Saccharomyces cerevisiae S288C: one gene and its partners. The gene in region 4 interacts genetically with the main gene of each other region. Each region holds a gene or a part of one and is shown on either strand. Other genes may lie near its edges. The genes, in order: RRI1, DAL81, ARO7 and STP1.

Region 1 (3,551 bases), 1.3 Mb from region 4:
ATATGTGGATGCAATGATTGACATTCTAATCAACGATCCATTAAAGGAAAACTATGTCAACCTTTTACCAAAGGAGGAAATATTATTTTTTGGCCCAGATGAAGGAACTGCTGGTTTCGTGGATTGGGCAACTAACCATGCTCGTGTGAGGAACTGCCCATGGTGGAAATCATTTTTGACTGGAAAATCCCCATCTTTGGGTGGTATTCCCCATGACGAATATGGTATGACTTCTCTGGGTGTTCGTGCTTATGTTAATAAAATTTACGAAACTTTAAACTTGACAAATTCTACTGTTTACAAATTCCAAACTGGTGGTCCGGATGGTGATTTGGGATCCAATGAAATTCTTTTATCTTCGCCAAACGAATGTTATTTGGCAATTCTGGACGGTTCAGGTGTCCTGTGTGATCCTAAAGGTTTAGATAAAGATGAATTATGCCGCTTGGCACATGAAAGGAAAATGATTTCCGATTTCGACACTTCCAAATTATCAAACAACGGATTTTTTGTTTCTGTGGATGCAATGGATATCATGCTACCAAATGGTACAATTGTAGCTAACGGCACAACCTTCAGAAACACCTTTCATACTCAAATTTTCAAATTTGTGGATCATGTCGACATTTTTGTTCCATGCGGTGGTAGACCAAACTCAATTACTCTAAATAATCTACATTATTTTGTTGACGAAAAGACTGGGAAATGTAAAATTCCATATATTGTGGAGGGTGCCAATCTATTTATAACGCAACCTGCTAAAAATGCTTTGGAGGAACATGGCTGTATTCTGTTCAAAGATGCTTCTGCAAACAAAGGTGGTGTCACATCTTCATCAATGGAAGTGTTGGCCTCACTAGCGCTTAACGATAACGACTTCGTGCACAAATTTATTGGAGATGTTAGTGGTGAGAGGTCTGCGTTGTACAAGTCGTACGTTGTAGAAGTGCAGTCAAGAATTCAGAAAAATGCTGAATTAGAGTTTGGTCAGTTATGGAATTTGAATCAACTAAATGGAACCCACATTTCAGAAATTTCAAACCAATTGTCCTTCACTATAAACAAATTGAACGACGATCTAGTTGCTTCTCAAGAGTTGTGGCTCAATGATCTAAAATTAAGAAACTACCTATTGTTGGATAAAATAATTCCAAAAATTCTGATTGATGTTGCTGGGCCTCAGTCCGTATTGGAAAACATTCCAGAGAGCTATTTGAAAGTTCTTCTGTCGAGTTACTTATCAAGCACTTTTGTTTACCAGAACGGTATCGATGTTAACATTGGAAAATTCTTGGAATTTATTGGTGGGTTAAAAAGAGAAGCGGAGGCAAGTGCTTGAGCTTCAATAAAATTGTTTTGTATAAATTAGTTCTGCCGTCAGAAAAGAAAATTAAACATATGTGTATGTTCTTCTCAGCGTTTTATTGTGTACTAAGTAAAGTTGTTTATATGTCCATTATTTTTAATCTAAAAAAAGCATTTGATATTTTTTCCTTCGAGTTATCCATTATACTAGGCAGTTCTCCTCAGGGAGCCATGCTTCAGCTGAAACTTTAGGAAAGGCGCGCTACGCAGGAAGCGCTCTTATTAAAGGGTTTTTCAAATAAACTAAAAATGAATAACAACGATCGAAAATCAATAAAAACTGCAGGAGGCAGCATGTCACTTTCAAATAAGACTGTAAAGGAATTACGACAACTACTAAAGGAAAGGTACACCGTGGAAGATGAACTAACTGAATCTATAGCGCTATCAAGTATGCGATTCAAGCCGTCGCAAGAACCTGAATTTCATGCGCTAAGCCAATCTTCCTTGCTCAAAACTAAACTAAAACAACAAAGTAGTACAGATATTCCGAGTTACACCCACGTACTTATATCAAAATTATCATGTGAAAAGATCACCCATTATGCAGTTCGTGGAGGAAATATTGAAATCATGGGCATATTAATGGGGTTCACATTAAAAGATAATATTGTTGTAATGGATTGTTTCAATCTTCCCGTAGTAGGGACAGAAACTCGCGTAAATGCACAATTGGAGTCATACGAATATATGGTTCAATATATCGACGAGATGTATAATCATAATGACGGTGGTGATGGGCGAGATTACAAGGGCGCTAAACTGAATGTTGTTGGCTGGTTCCATTCACATCCTGGTTACGACTGTTGGTTAAGTAATATAGATATCCAAACCCAGGATTTGAACCAGAGATTCCAAGATCCATATGTCGCAATTGTGGTCGATCCCTTGAAAAGTCTGGAAGATAAAATTTTAAGAATGGGTGCATTTAGGACAATAGAAAGTAAAAGTGATGATAATAGTGCCACTTCATACTATGAACTAGAAACAATCATATTTGATTCAGAATTGAACCGAGCGCTATTTGAAACAAAGTTAAACTTACATTGCGTAATAGAGGATGATGAGTCAGAACAAATATCATTAAATAGATTGATCGATTCAATGAAGCAGTATAGCTATTTGATGGATTCCAAAAATGTTAGAACAAGGATTAAGTTGGCTACTACCAGTGAACGTGTTAGCAACGAAAATAAAAAAAACATTGACTATCAAAACCGTTCAACAAGGTCTCAGTTCTGCCTCAATACGCAAAGGGGGGATAGCACTGAAACAAGCTCCTTTGGAAGCATGTTTTCAGGTGATAATACTAGTGACGTAGATATGGAAGATAGAAACCTTACCGAGTTCGACAGTACTGACACTAGTCTGTGCATAAACGGCGAACCGAGCATTCATGTAAATCGCGTGGAAAGAAGCAGCAGGTCTACCGACAATTTTCACAATTCTAAAAAACGCATGAACAGCAATCAGGAAAGATGTCATGATGAGGGCAATGATATGTTACAGAGAAATGTCTTGGAGACAGATTATGCAAGAGCAAAAAATCGAATACTTGCGTCAAAGATAAAACAATATGAGCGGTTACGTTTTTACAAGGACACCTTTACATTATGAATTCCTAACGTTGCTCCAATGACGCTGCAATAGCTTATGTTTATCTGCAACGTACTTTTAATAGTTATTCCTTCTTGAATCTCTATAAGTATATCTATACCGGGTGACAATTTGATATTTTCGTACGCCGTTATGTGTTGGTTTTTGGTCTTACTGATAAAATGGCATCGAGCTTACAACTGAAGAGAAAGACGATGCATCAGTCAACTTAATTCTCTAATAAAACAGACAGCATTTCCTCGGATCCATTTCGTACATATAAAATCCGAAGCTTTTCAGGACAAAATACTATTTTTCTGTCACTACTAAACGGGATAGTACTAAACGGGATAGTAGAGATAGCTGCCAAATAAGATCAAGAAATTGTGATTTTAAATACTTTATACGAAGATGGTGTACACAGGATTTGGTTTGGAGCAGATAAGTCCAGCTCAAAAGAAACCTTATAATGAACTAACTCCGGAAGAACAGGGTGAACGGGGTGCTGAAATGATCATGAACTTCATGACTTCCTGTCCTGGAAAATCAGTTGTGAGTGGTGTAACAGGGTTTGCACTGGGTGGTGTTTT
Region 2 (5,452 bases), on a different chromosome or scaffold from region 4:
GTTCATGATAATAATGGAAAGGTAGACTTCGACGCAGATGATGAATTGAAACTTGTGAATTTGCGTTTAGGAATCGTCGGCAAGAACGCAACTGGGATGAAGGAAGATGAGACTGATATTGTGGTTCCTAAGGAAGAGTCATTGGAAGAGATCTGGCAAAGTATAATAGACGAGGCAAAAAAAGAAGTAATCGAAAAAACTCCAGATGCTGGCGTTAAGAACAAAGAAGGGATTGTCACTGATTTGAATGTTCTAAAAGATTTAGAAAAGTCGAAAAAAGAAGATGAAAAGGTTTACCTAAGTGGTGATGTCCATATGATGATGAACCAACCAGGTGATTTGAATGAAATCGCCAAAGAACATGATAAAATCCCAAAATTTCTATAGTAGGCTCTATGCATCCGGATATACCACATGTAAATATAACGCAAGCGAATAAATAATTTTACATTCACCACTCAGTAACCTTGGTCCTGCAGAAGATATTTCTATATAGTTATTACCGTATTCCATTTTTACTTATGTGCTATTATTTATATTACAGAGGGGTTTCCCTTGTGTTAATTGTTACATTTTTATCATCATTCATTTTTATAGTTTGGTTACCAGTTGCGCTTGTTTCCTGGTTCGAGTTTGGATTATCGTCCTTGAGTTCCGTTGATGATTCCTCGTTGGCGGTTCTTTCTCTTCCTGCTGTTTTTTCATCTGCAGCGTCACCTGACTCTTGTCTGGTTTCGTTAATTGAGGTCAAGGGAGAAGCATTCATTTGTGTATTAGAGTTGACATTTGTGCTGGAATTGACTCTTGGTGAAGATGTATTAGAGGGGGGGTGTCTGCTCATATGAGAGGGCGTAACATTTGGTGAAGATTGTGAAGTTTTTTTAGAAGACTTATTTGGCGCAAATGGTAAAGGCGTGTTGTTGCTATTATTATTAGCACTATTTATGGCTGGACTTCCCTGCGATTCTAGTTGTGTTTGTCTGGAAGTGGGGTTTACTGGCGTTGTTGTACTGGTCGTACCGTTGGGAAAGGAGTTTAGTTGTTGCAAGATTTCCTGGGGCAAATTCTTCCACTGGTTTAAAGGAGATCCTTGCTCGGTCATGGCAGGTGATCCCACGTTAAATTGTATTGGGATTTGCGATTGTACACCTGACCTTTGTGGGTTAACGGAATTGATGTTAGAGTTAGGGCTCACGACCACCGGTTCATCGGTCAGAAGACCAGGAATTTGTGCAAATAGTAAATGCATATTATTCAAAGCATTCGATAGTTTATCAAAGTATTTGGAACCTATCTTCAATACCCAGGTATAATTTCTAACATAATCTCTGAAAATCATAGCCTCTTCCTTCGTAGCTGAAGTCACATACAGCAGGGCAGCAAATGTTCCAATTAGCATCAGATTTCCAGTTGAGCAGTTATACCAAAAAGCATTAATATGTTCGTTTTTTAGATCTCTTATAAATTCAATTGCTGCTACAAGCCTGGTTCTTGCAGCAGTCCTGCATACTTGAACCAGTTCCTTTGGAGTTTGAGGATTCAAGGCACAGATAATTTTCCTATGTAACGTAATTTCCGTGGCAAAATAAGCTAGAGTTAAAGTTGAATTTGAGTTCAATTTTTGTGGCGTGGCATAACTCATTGACAAATTCTTGGGTAGGGAATGGTACCATTCTCTTAATTTCAGTTGCAACGGCTTTGCCAGTTTCAATACCTGTTCAATGCTTTTGTTTATTGTCATGGATCCCTGAGTGTAAAATGTGTCCATGATTTCCCCAAGAATTATACTCAAGGAAACCATTTGTTGAAACATAAGCGTTCCATTCTTGAAATCTTCTAAAGTGGGGTTTATGTTAAATATGGGCAAGTTACCAAATGCTATCTGATGGTTTTTCACATCATTTGATGACGAGGGTGAAGACCCCGACTGGTCATTTTGCAAGGAATTTAAAATAGTGGGCGAATTCAGAGGAAAATCATCAAAGTTTAATAGCTTGATCATCCAGTTCCTACCTAAAATTAAATGGGATTGTCTACCTTCGTTTAATGCACACCATTTATCCATCAACCAAACTGCCCACGCTAATCTCTTTCTCAAATCTTTTTCCCATTTGGGAAGTTTCCAATCATTACATTCAACCCCGAGCCCCAATTCCTCTGCAAGGGCCACTACGCTGGAGCAGAGGACCCAGTTGTTATGACATTCACTACGGCATTGCAAAATCAAAAGGCCTGTTTGTATAATGCTCAATTTTGGCCTTCCAACTCGAGCATAAAATGTTTCCAATGCGATATTGTTTAGTTGAGCAGTTACATCGGGTTTAGGGAACCCCAAAAGTGCAGGATGAAAATCCCAATATTGTAATGCCAGTGAGTAAATGGATGCCAGTAAAGGCGCAGTGAGTTCTCTATAAGATCTAGAATACTTTTCCAAAAATACACGTTCGTGTAAAATTGGAAGAAAAGGATGAATCAATTTGAAGAAAATCTCTACTAAAAGGTGACCGTGCGGATGTACCAGATTTTCGACCAAATCAACTTCGTATTCTTGCTTACTATGAAGGGTCGTGTCAAAATCGTCCTGAAGAATAAACTGTGCGGTAGGAGACACCTTTCTTAATGATAAAGTTTTTGATAGCTGTATTTGGTCAACATTATCTAGTCTTACATGCTTGGTCAAGTTCAAATCGAAAACTGAGGCCGGACCGACGAAAAAAGAGGATCTGGGGTATTGTATACGCTGTTGCTGCTGTTGCTGTTGCTGCTGCTGTTGATGTCTATAGAGCATGCTACTGGGTAAGCGATTCGAATAGTCTTCAAAATTTTTCATTCGTTTGGAGTTTGAAGAGGTTGGCATGTTATTGTTTGCCCCAGAGGACGTTCTTTTCAAATAATTTGGAGCAATACTGAAGGTGCATTTAGTTCTTGACGTTTCACATTCGAGACAGTTGCCTAGGTCGGGAAAATAGTTGCACTTTGTTTTCTTTAATCTACATTGATTGCAAGATCCCATCAGATTACCGGGACTAGATATGTCATTATTGTTGTTATTATTGTTGCTATTACTGCCATTATGATCTGCGCTGTTACTAACATTGTCATCAAAGGCTATTGCATTATCACTCTTGGAGAGTAAACTTTGATAATGGTGCAAAAGGGTATCCAGGCTCTGTTGTTGCTGCTGTTGTTGCTGCTGTTGTTGCTGTTGTTGCTGCTGCTGATGCTGTTGTTGTTGTGATCCTCCTTTCTCCCTCAGTATATTAGGATGGTCGTTTGCCAAATGTTGCAGAATGGTAGTATAGTTATCATTAAAATTCAGTATATCATGGTTACTGTTATTATTGCTGTTGTTGCTATTGACATTATTATTCGTGGACGAATTTTTAGTGGTTGCCTTCACGCTCTTCGTAGGCGATGCGGCATTATCAGCTGGTGATTGGTGAGGGTCCATTTGATAGTATGGCTGCCTGTCGTTCTGCCGCTCGTCTAAACAGGCCAAGAGTTTTTAAGATCTACACTATTATTTGAAAATGATTCTTATCATCTATTATTTTCAATCACCATGTACGATTGTTATGTTTCATATAATACCCATCGCGATGGATATTATATGAGTATTATTAGCTCGAATCTTGGACTGCTTCTGCTCTACCTATACACTGATTGTACAATTCTATATGCTTATGCAGCTTAGACCATTTTTTATTCGAGAAGTTAAACCTAGCGGTCTCAATTACCGACACATATGCCTTTTCAAGATATCGAGTTAATGAGCGACGGTATCACCTTATAAAAAATGACACAAATCATCTCTGTTGAATTGCCTACATCACTGTGGGAGCTCCTTTTTCAATAATTCTCAAAGCGTGTCCTAAGACAATATTTTGTTTTCAGCGTGGACCGAATGGTTATGGTTATATAATTAAACAAGTTAAAGACCATAAGCACAAATACAAAGTACGTAAACATCGTTCCAAAAAAACTTGGCGAACTACTCGCCCCCCAGCAGAGCACTCAACCCCAACATACCTAACAATGCAAACTTGGCATATTTGTTCTCGCTAATCCAAATCGTAATGTACCCTAGTTGTGGAAAGTAGCCCTTGACGGTCCCTACAATCTCCTTTGACTTGTTCAAGTAAATTTTCTTATTAGCATATAGTGAGATATCATTGCCGGCGTTATTGTCACCTTTGGTCAGGAGGAATTGCTTGTCCGCGTGATTGTTATGTTGCCTCAAAACTCTATGCACAATGGGGATTTGTTTCCCTTCGACCTCATACACCACGACATCACCTACTTGGTTGAAAGTATTTCTATTCCATAGGAAAAGGATATCACCCCTTTGGAAAGCTGGTTCCATGGAGCCTGAAAGCACCACCACGATCGGAGAAGCGCTATTAGTAGCAATGGCTAAGCCTTGCCAGAACATGTAAGCAGATGCAAACAAAAAGCAAACGTTCAATAGTTTCTGCAATTCAAATCTTAGATTCATCTTGTGCTAACTCCCTTGGGGTTTACTTTCCGGTATATTTCTGTAGTATATTGTTTCTGCACCATTTATTTCCTTGGAGATTATTTTTTTGAAATCGCTTTTGCCAATGGAAAAAAGTATACGTATGGTAATAATAATAAGAGCAACAGCGCTCTCTGAAATAGAAGATACCAGCAGCTTCGTGGTCTTGGGAGTCTTGCAGCTGACAGAGAATGACATTGTTGTGCAGGTGTGTCACATAAGATCTGGAAAAAACCAACAGCTACAGAAAGAACCGCCCTCACGGAGAATAAAGTCAATAGTAGCTTTTTTTTACGTACTTTCTATTTACATGCTATATAAGAGGATTATATCTTTGCGCCTTTGAGAAACTTTGAGGAACCGGCCTGAAAATGTTGTAGATTGAGCTTTTCTTGCTTAACGTAGTCGTTGAATTGCTTTAGGACGCCTGAGTCCAACCTACCATTGTCCTTCATCACAATGTCAACGAGGTTGCTATACGTACGAAGAACTTTACTCGACTCCATAGTAGCGAGAAACACCTCTGTCATATCAGATGCATCTTTTCCTGTGTCCAGGGAAAGACAATCCTTCAGGGAGAAGTTTAGGCCCGTTGTCGAGGATAGTATGGGGAATTTAAGTTTCCAGCCTTTATCCAAATGAAGACACATTAGCGGGTCGATGTCATTATCGAAGGCGGATCGCAGTAATCGCTTGGTGACAACCTCCTTTATAGTGGCACGTACCACCGGATCGTACATCTGATATTCTCGAGGTACAGAAATGGAAGGGTTTTCCTTTAATGAGACTCTTATGGGAGTCAATTCGCACCAGAAGGTGTCAATGAATTCAGGATTGCAGACAGCTGCAAGCAAACGAGCTTTTTCATTGGTAGAAGTTACGTACACTCCTTGGCATTTCGCGTATAGTAGGTGTTCTAGGATGTTTGATTGCAGT
Region 3 (3,236 bases), on a different chromosome or scaffold from region 4:
TGGAATACCATACATGATGATGGCACCTGTACACATGTCGCATGGAGACAGCGTCGTATACAAAGTGGTATCTTTGTACACTTTGCCCTCTAATCTCCCACAGTTTTCCAAAGTGGAGATCTCACCATGTAGTGTGGCGGATCCCTTTTGAAATCTCATGTTGTGACCACGACCGAGAACACTTCCGTCTTTGTTATTGATAAGACATCCGCCAATAGGAACACCACCCTCTTTGTAACCTAAGGCCGCCTCCTCATAGGCAATGTCCATACCCTTCTGATCCCACTTGCTTGCCATTCCCCCTGTCACCATTAGCTATGAAATTTTTAACTCTTTAAGCTGGCTCTCATCAACATAAAACAATGGCTTGTAGATCTCATTGTCGAATTGAAAATGAACTTTTTAATTTCGCAAAAAAAAAAAGAAAAGTTCAGGGTCTCCGGGTACTACCGCCCCTGCAAGGAATGACCGGTGATAATGGAAGAGAAGATATTACAGCGACAGTATAATTAACAAACACGTTGTGTCTTTAGGCTCGTAACTAACTGTACGTATATCTACACACCATAGGTCACTACTTGCAATATATTTGTTATGCTACACCATAAGTTCGTATACCCATTTTTATTCAAGTGGCACTTATCATGTGTAGAAAAGTGTCCCCCACAAATCACTTTTATAGCTAAGTATGCTACAGCGAACGATAAAAATGGCAATAGAAAACTTACGATAAGGGATGAACAATGGCCTGAGTTGGCAGATCCAACTCCCTATGATATTTTTGGCATTCCAAAGGCCGGATCTGGAAATCCTAAACTGGACAAGAAGTCGTTAAAAAAAAAATATCATCGTTATGTAAAATTGTACCACCCTGACCATTCCGATAACATTCAAATATTTAGCTCAGAAAAGGTTACCAACAGTGATAGTAAATCACCGCTGCTGCTAACATCAAGCGAAAAACTACATAGATTTAAAGTCATCTCTCAAGCATATGATATTCTTTGTGACCCAAAGAAAAAGATCGTATATGACACAACGAGGCAAGGCTGGACCACATCGTATTCACCACGTTCTAACGTTAATACTGAAAATTACCAATATGCCGGCTCTTATGGCTACCACTCTAACGCGCAGTATGAATACTGGAACGCTGGGACTTGGGAAGACGCAAATAGCATGAAAAACGAAAGAATTCAAGAAAACATCAACCCATGGACCGTTATTGGCATAATTTGTGGCCTAGCTATATGCATCGAAGGGACTGCGTTGTTAGCCAAAATCCAGGAGTCTCTGAGCAAGGCCGAATTTACTCATGACGAAAGTGGATTACATTTGATTCAGTCATACACGAATTATGGTCTTGATACTGACAAATTTTCCAGATTGAGGCGGTTCTTATGGTTTAGAACTTGGGGACTTTACAAGTCGAAAGAGGATTTAGATAGAGAAGCCAAGATCAATGAAGAAATGATACGCAAACTGAAAGCAGCTAAATGAAATCACCTATTGCGCCGCTCGCGGAATACAATTACTAAATTTTATATATATTCTTTAAAAATGCATCTATACATTCGTTTTTCCACGTATACCAAATTCGAAAAAAGTTGTTAAACCATCGTTTTCACGTTTTTTAATTTTTTTTTGGTTCTCTTTTTTTTTTTTTTTCAATATCAACTTTTTTTCAAACTTCGTGTTGCATTTCCTTTATCGTAAATTTTCAATGGATCTCTATAATCTTCGAAGTTCGAAGAAAAGAAGAAAAAAAGTATTGAAAAGTTGAAACATCGATTCCGTTTTGCTAACAAATAGCACTCAGCATCCTGCATAAAATTGGTATAAGATATGGATTTCACAAAACCAGAAACTGTTTTAAATCTACAAAATATTAGAGATGAATTAGTTAGAATGGAGGATTCGATCATCTTCAAATTTATTGAGAGGTCGCATTTCGCCACATGTCCTTCAGTTTATGAGGCAAACCATCCAGGTTTAGAAATTCCGAATTTTAAAGGATCTTTCTTGGATTGGGCTCTTTCAAATCTTGAAATTGCGCATTCTCGCATCAGAAGATTCGAATCACCTGATGAAACTCCCTTCTTTCCTGACAAGATTCAGAAATCATTCTTACCGAGCATTAACTACCCACAAATTTTGGCGCCTTATGCCCCAGAAGTTAATTACAATGATAAAATAAAAAAAGTTTATATTGAAAAGATTATACCATTAATTTCGAAAAGAGATGGTGATGATAAGAATAACTTCGGTTCTGTTGCCACTAGAGATATAGAATGTTTGCAAAGCTTGAGTAGGAGAATCCACTTTGGCAAGTTTGTTGCTGAAGCCAAGTTCCAATCGGATATCCCGCTATACACAAAGCTGATCAAAAGTAAAGATGTCGAGGGGATAATGAAGAATATCACCAATTCTGCCGTTGAAGAAAAGATTCTAGAAAGATTAACTAAGAAGGCTGAAGTCTATGGTGTGGACCCTACCAACGAGTCAGGTGAAAGAAGGATTACTCCAGAATATTTGGTAAAAATTTATAAGGAAATTGTTATACCTATCACTAAGGAAGTTGAGGTGGAATACTTGCTAAGAAGGTTGGAAGAGTAAGCATGAAGGCTATCACGGTAACAATTCCACATTGCCGAGTGATTACTACGCATATATAAACACACACACTCACCATATATATGTACGCATAGTAGCATCTATTGAATATAAGAAGATAGAGTTTCAAGTTATACATTATATTGTACTATTTTCTTAAACGATGGCTCATAAATTCTATAGGAATTATCAACCCAATAACCTCATCGCTAATTCAAAAGTAGCAAAAGTGGCACCATTGGCGGGAGCAGCTCTTAGCATGGTAGGACCAAACCCTTTGAAAAAAGCGCCTATCCCTCCATTGGCATATAAAGTCTTGGCTACACTGGAAATAGAATTACCAAATTTAGGCTTTTGTAAATTATCCGTTTGCATGACAGACTTGATGACATCTAATGGATATACCATCAACCATAAGGCAGTGCCAGACAATGCTCCAAAAATACAAAGTTTCCATGCAGGAATGTCCTTTCTCTCTAGTCCACGTCTTTTGTTCATTTGGTTAGCAATCAACGCTTCATACACTAAGAAATATGTGCCACATCCATGACCTTCTCTCAATATTGTAGGTGTTAAACCACGTAGCAAGGCCTTGTTATGTCTTAATTTTTTGATGCATTCCA
Region 4 (4,131 bases):
GTTTCAGTGTTCAGAAAAAAGGCACCTACTGCTACGGTTGGCCCATACCTTTATTCTTTGTTCTTGTTACAAACGAGTGTGTAATTACCCAAAAAGGAAATTTACATGTTAAATGAAACCCAGTAATCAGAAAAAACAGTTAAGAAACCTAAAATGGTAGAGATAAAGATACAGATTCAGTGGTTGCTGAAAATCAAGTAAAAAAATGAAATAGAGTCTTCATATATAAACCGCCAGAAATGAATTAATGAGAGGGATCTGTAACTGTTTCTCGGATAAAACCAAAATAAGTACAAAGCCATCGAATAGAAATGCAACCATCTACCGCTACCGCCGCTCCAAAAGAAAAGACCAGCAGTGAAAAGAAGGACAACTATATTATCAAAGGTGTCTTCTGGGACCCAGCATGTGTTATTGCTTAGTTTCTGCGTACAAAAACGTTGTTCTCCCTCCTTTATCTTCCTTTTCCGCTACACCAATATATCATGTTTGTTCGTAATATTTCTTTTTAGACCTAATAATAAATATCCTAAGTAACTATATTATATAAAATATTTTGATACCCTGTACCTGCTTTTGTTATCGTTGTACATCCATGCACACGCTCATATATATATATATATATATATATATGTATATGTACATATACCGCTTACCACCTACCGTGAAGTATATGTAAGGGTCTTCGCACCCGGATATCCCTTGTGGGATCTTGGATGCGGATGGTGAGTGTAAACAGGCCTCATAAAGCTGTCTCTGTGTGCGGAAGATGTCGTTTCATCGGCTTCGACCTCCTCCTTATCTTGCTTCATTGTTTCTTCGTAAGAGGGCGGATCTACGGGCAGCGGGGTCGCTGTCTCCTTGTATGCATGCTTATTTATATCACTCTTTCCGCTATCCATCATAATCTGTTTTTGTTTATGTGCTTTGAATACTCAACACATAAAATAATATCCAGTTAATTGTCGTCTGTCCATTGACGCTTTGCCTTTGTCCCTTTAGACTGTCTTTATTGTGAAATATGCACGGCTGAGAATTACGTATACAGTGACTATCGTATGGGGCGACAAAAGTTCCCAGCGAGAAACAAGATGAAGCAGACTGGGGCCTGCCTGTATGGAGGGAAGCATAAGTTAATATACCTCCAGATATTTGCAGATTAGGATACTGAACTGACGAAGACCTACGCTACACAACGAAGATAACACATGCTGGCACAAACATTCAAAAAACCACACAGAGCCGTTCTAGAACAGGTATCTGGGACCACGGTCTTCATCAGAAATAAGAGAACAAAGAGCAAGAGCTCACTGTCACCTTTGGCACAAAGGGTCGTCACGCAGTTGAGTGTGATGTCTGCAAGCAGAAAGCAGCCCAAGTTGCTGAAGCTGGCGCGTGAAGACCTGATTAAACATCAGACCATTGAGAAGTGTTGGTCAATTTATCAGCAGCAACAACGGGAGCGCAGAAATTTACAGTTGGAATTACAATATAAGAGCATTGAGAGATCTATGAACCTTCTACAAGAACTCAGCCCTCGTCTGTTTGAGGCTGCCAATGCTTCCGAGAAGGGCAAGCGATTCCCGATGGAAATGAAGGTGCCCACTGACTTCCCCCCAAATACGTTATGGCATTATAACTTCCGAAAATGATAGCGTGAGCGAACGCTTGACTGTCTCCTGCTGTAAATAACTGATGATCAATAGAATGCCACGTATATATGGACTTATATAATTATATGTACATAGACATATAAAGGGCATGTGGTAATTATGACATGAACTGTATCACTATTGACGTTTTTTTTACTGCTTTTTCCCATCCCTGCAAGCGAAAAAAAAAGCAAGCTGACTCTTGTATAAACTGCAAGGACTCATTGATTAAAAGTAGATTTACATTACAGACTAAAGGAAAAGGCAAACTATACCGGCTATACCACATTCGTTCAAAAATGCCCTCTACCACGCTACTGTTTCCGCAGAAACATATTAGGGCCATTCCAGGCAAGATATACGCGTTCTTCAGAGAGCTCGTCAGCGGAGTTATTATATCCAAGCCAGATCTAAGTCATCATTATTCTTGTGAAAATGCGACAAAGGAGGAAGGCAAAGATGCAGCAGATGAAGAAAAGACTACCACAAGTTTGTTTCCCGAATCAAATAATATAGACCGTTCTTTAAATGGTGGCTGCTCTGTGATCCCTTGCTCCATGGATGTCAGCGATTTGAACACGCCAATATCGATCACACTATCTCCTGAGAATCGTATCAAATCAGAAGTAAATGCCAAGTCACTGCTCGGATCAAGGCCAGAACAAGATACAGGCGCCCCTATCAAAATGTCTACTGGTGTCACAAGCTCTCCATTAAGTCCATCAGGCTCCACCCCAGAACATTCCACCAAGGTCTTGAACAACGGCGAAGAGGAGTTCATTTGTCACTACTGTGACGCTACTTTCAGGATTAGAGGATATCTAACGAGACATATTAAGAAGCACGCCATCGAAAAGGCGTATCACTGTCCATTTTTTAACAGTGCCACTCCTCCTGATCTTAGATGCCACAATTCGGGTGGTTTTAGCAGACGCGATACTTATAAAACTCATTTGAAGGCAAGGCACGTGCTGTACCCCAAAGGTGTTAAACCACAAGACCGTAACAAGTCGTCCGGCCATTGCGCTCAATGTGGTGAATACTTTTCCACCATTGAAAATTTCGTTGAGAATCACATTGAGTCTGGGGACTGTAAAGCTTTACCGCAGGGGTATACCAAGAAAAATGAAAAAAGATCTGGAAAATTAAGGAAGATCAAGACATCTAATGGTCATTCTAGATTCATATCCACTTCGCAAAGTGTTGTAGAACCTAAAGTACTTTTCAACAAGGATGCCGTAGAGGCTATGACCATAGTGGCTAATAACAGTTCGGGCAATGATATTATATCCAAGTACGGAAACAACAAATTAATGTTAAACTCGGAAAACTTTAAAGTCGACATACCCAAGAGAAAGAGAAAATATATCAAGAAAAAGCAGCAACAGGTATCTGGATCGACGGTAACCACACCAGAGGTAGCTACACAAAACAATCAAGAAGTGGCACCTGATGAAATCTCATCCGCCACAATTTTTTCACCTTTTGATACTCATCTACTCGAGCCCGTCCCTTCTAGTTCATCGGAATCTTCCGCTGAAGTTATGTTCCATGGCAAGCAAATGAAGAATTTTTTGATTGACATAAACAGCTTCACAAATCAACAGCAGCAGGCACAAGATAATCCTTCGTTCCTGCCACTCGATATTGAACAATCTTCATATGATTTGAGCGAAGACGCAATGTCATATCCCATCATATCCACACAAAGCAACCGTGATTGCACGCAGTATGATAACACAAAAATCTCACAAATCTTACAATCACAACTAAATCCAGAATATCTCAGCGAAAATCACATGAGAGAGACACAACAATATTTGAATTTTTACAATGACAACTTTGGGTCACAATTTTGATTAAATATAACACGGGATAAAAATAAGGGTATCATATTGGAAAGCCGATGGGTAAAAATTATTGAGTTAATAAATGGAGACAATATTAAAAATCAGGTAACAACAAATAAAAGGTTATAAATGTACTGCTGTATACTATATAAAAACTTTTAGCATGACTAATTAATTTTCATACTACTATGTTAAATAAACCAAGTGATTGCAACACCAATATTTTATTATTGATCTTCAGCGCATAGAGTCGATTCGTAGATATTATCACTTTTGACGTTTGTGATTTCTTTTTCATGATTGATTACCGATGATGCTATAACAAATAAAGGTCAAATTTTGAAAACAATGAAAAATAAGTAGTAAACAAATAAATGCACATTTATTGACACTAGTAGAGTGTAAGAGGAAAGTAATTTTTAGAACGCTTTATACACCTCTATCATTTATTTTTTTTTTGGTAAAAAAAAAACAGTAAGGTGTTAACCATATATCATATTCTGCCATGGCTTATGATGAAGATGATGGAGAGATAAATTTTAATGAACTTGTGGGGAACTTACTAAGCTCACATAACCAAGAGGGACAAGAGGAAGGAGAAGTGCAAGGAGGAGAACAGGAAGGAGATG

What was found.
Region 1: mutations in STP1 (region 4) and RRI1 together harm fitness more than expected from each alone (negative genetic interaction), as found in Saccharomyces cerevisiae (2 studies listed by BioGRID).
Region 2: mutations in STP1 (region 4) and DAL81 together harm fitness more than expected from each alone (negative genetic interaction), as found in Saccharomyces cerevisiae (4 studies listed by BioGRID, with this or other methods).
Region 3: mutations in STP1 (region 4) and ARO7 together harm fitness more than expected from each alone (negative genetic interaction), as found in Saccharomyces cerevisiae (2 studies listed by BioGRID).

Annotation. Positions count from the first base shown.
Region 1 is NC_001136.10:68,428-71,978, reverse strand, and holds RRI1 (COP9 signalosome catalytic subunit RRI1), read left to right. Parts: upstream 1-1,659; coding exon 1,660-2,982; downstream 2,983-3,551. Other genes in the region: GDH2 (glutamate dehydrogenase (NAD(+))), read left to right, coding at 1-1,339; translocation channel protein TIM22, read left to right, coding at 3,373-3,551. UniProt on the Saccharomyces cerevisiae protein: Catalytic component of the COP9 signalosome (CSN) complex that acts as an regulator of the ubiquitin (Ubl) conjugation pathway by mediating the deneddylation of the cullin subunit of SCF-type E3 ubiquitin-protein ligase complexes.
Region 2 is NC_001141.2:397,776-403,227, reverse strand, and holds DAL81 (Dal81p), read right to left. Parts: upstream 3,452-5,452; coding exon 539-3,451; downstream 1-538. Other genes in the region: INA22 (Ina22p), read left to right, coding at 1-387; signal peptidase complex catalytic subunit SEC11, read right to left, coding at 3,992-4,495; YIR021W-A (uncharacterized protein), read right to left, coding at 4,502-4,714; MRS1 (Mrs1p), read right to left, coding at 4,843-5,452. UniProt on the Saccharomyces cerevisiae protein: Positive regulation of genes required for catabolism of GABA (UGA4, UGA1, and UGA2), urea (DUR1 and DUR2), arginine and allantoin.
Region 3 is NC_001148.4:674,241-677,476, reverse strand, and holds ARO7 (chorismate mutase ARO7), read left to right. Parts: upstream 1-1,845; coding exon 1,846-2,616; downstream 2,617-3,236. Other genes in the region: FCY1 (cytosine deaminase), read right to left, coding at 1-312; JID1 (Jid1p), read left to right, coding at 595-1,500; YMC1 (organic acid transporter), read right to left, coding at 2,803-3,236. UniProt on the Saccharomyces cerevisiae protein: Catalyzes the Claisen rearrangement of chorismate to prephenate. Acts at the first branch point in the aromatic amino acid pathway where it steers biosynthesis towards phenylalanine and tyrosine, and away from tryptophan.
Region 4 is NC_001136.10:1,384,865-1,388,995, forward strand, and holds STP1 (Stp1p), read left to right. Parts: upstream 1-1,951; coding exon 1,952-3,511; downstream 3,512-4,131. Other genes in the region: MFA1 (mating pheromone a), read left to right, coding at 312-422; CMI8 (Cmi8p), read right to left, coding at 660-902; mitochondrial 54S ribosomal protein mL40 MRPL28, read left to right, coding at 1,209-1,652; SPP41 (Spp41p), read left to right, coding at 4,008-4,131. UniProt on the Saccharomyces cerevisiae protein: Transcription factor involved in the regulation of gene expression in response to extracellular amino acid levels.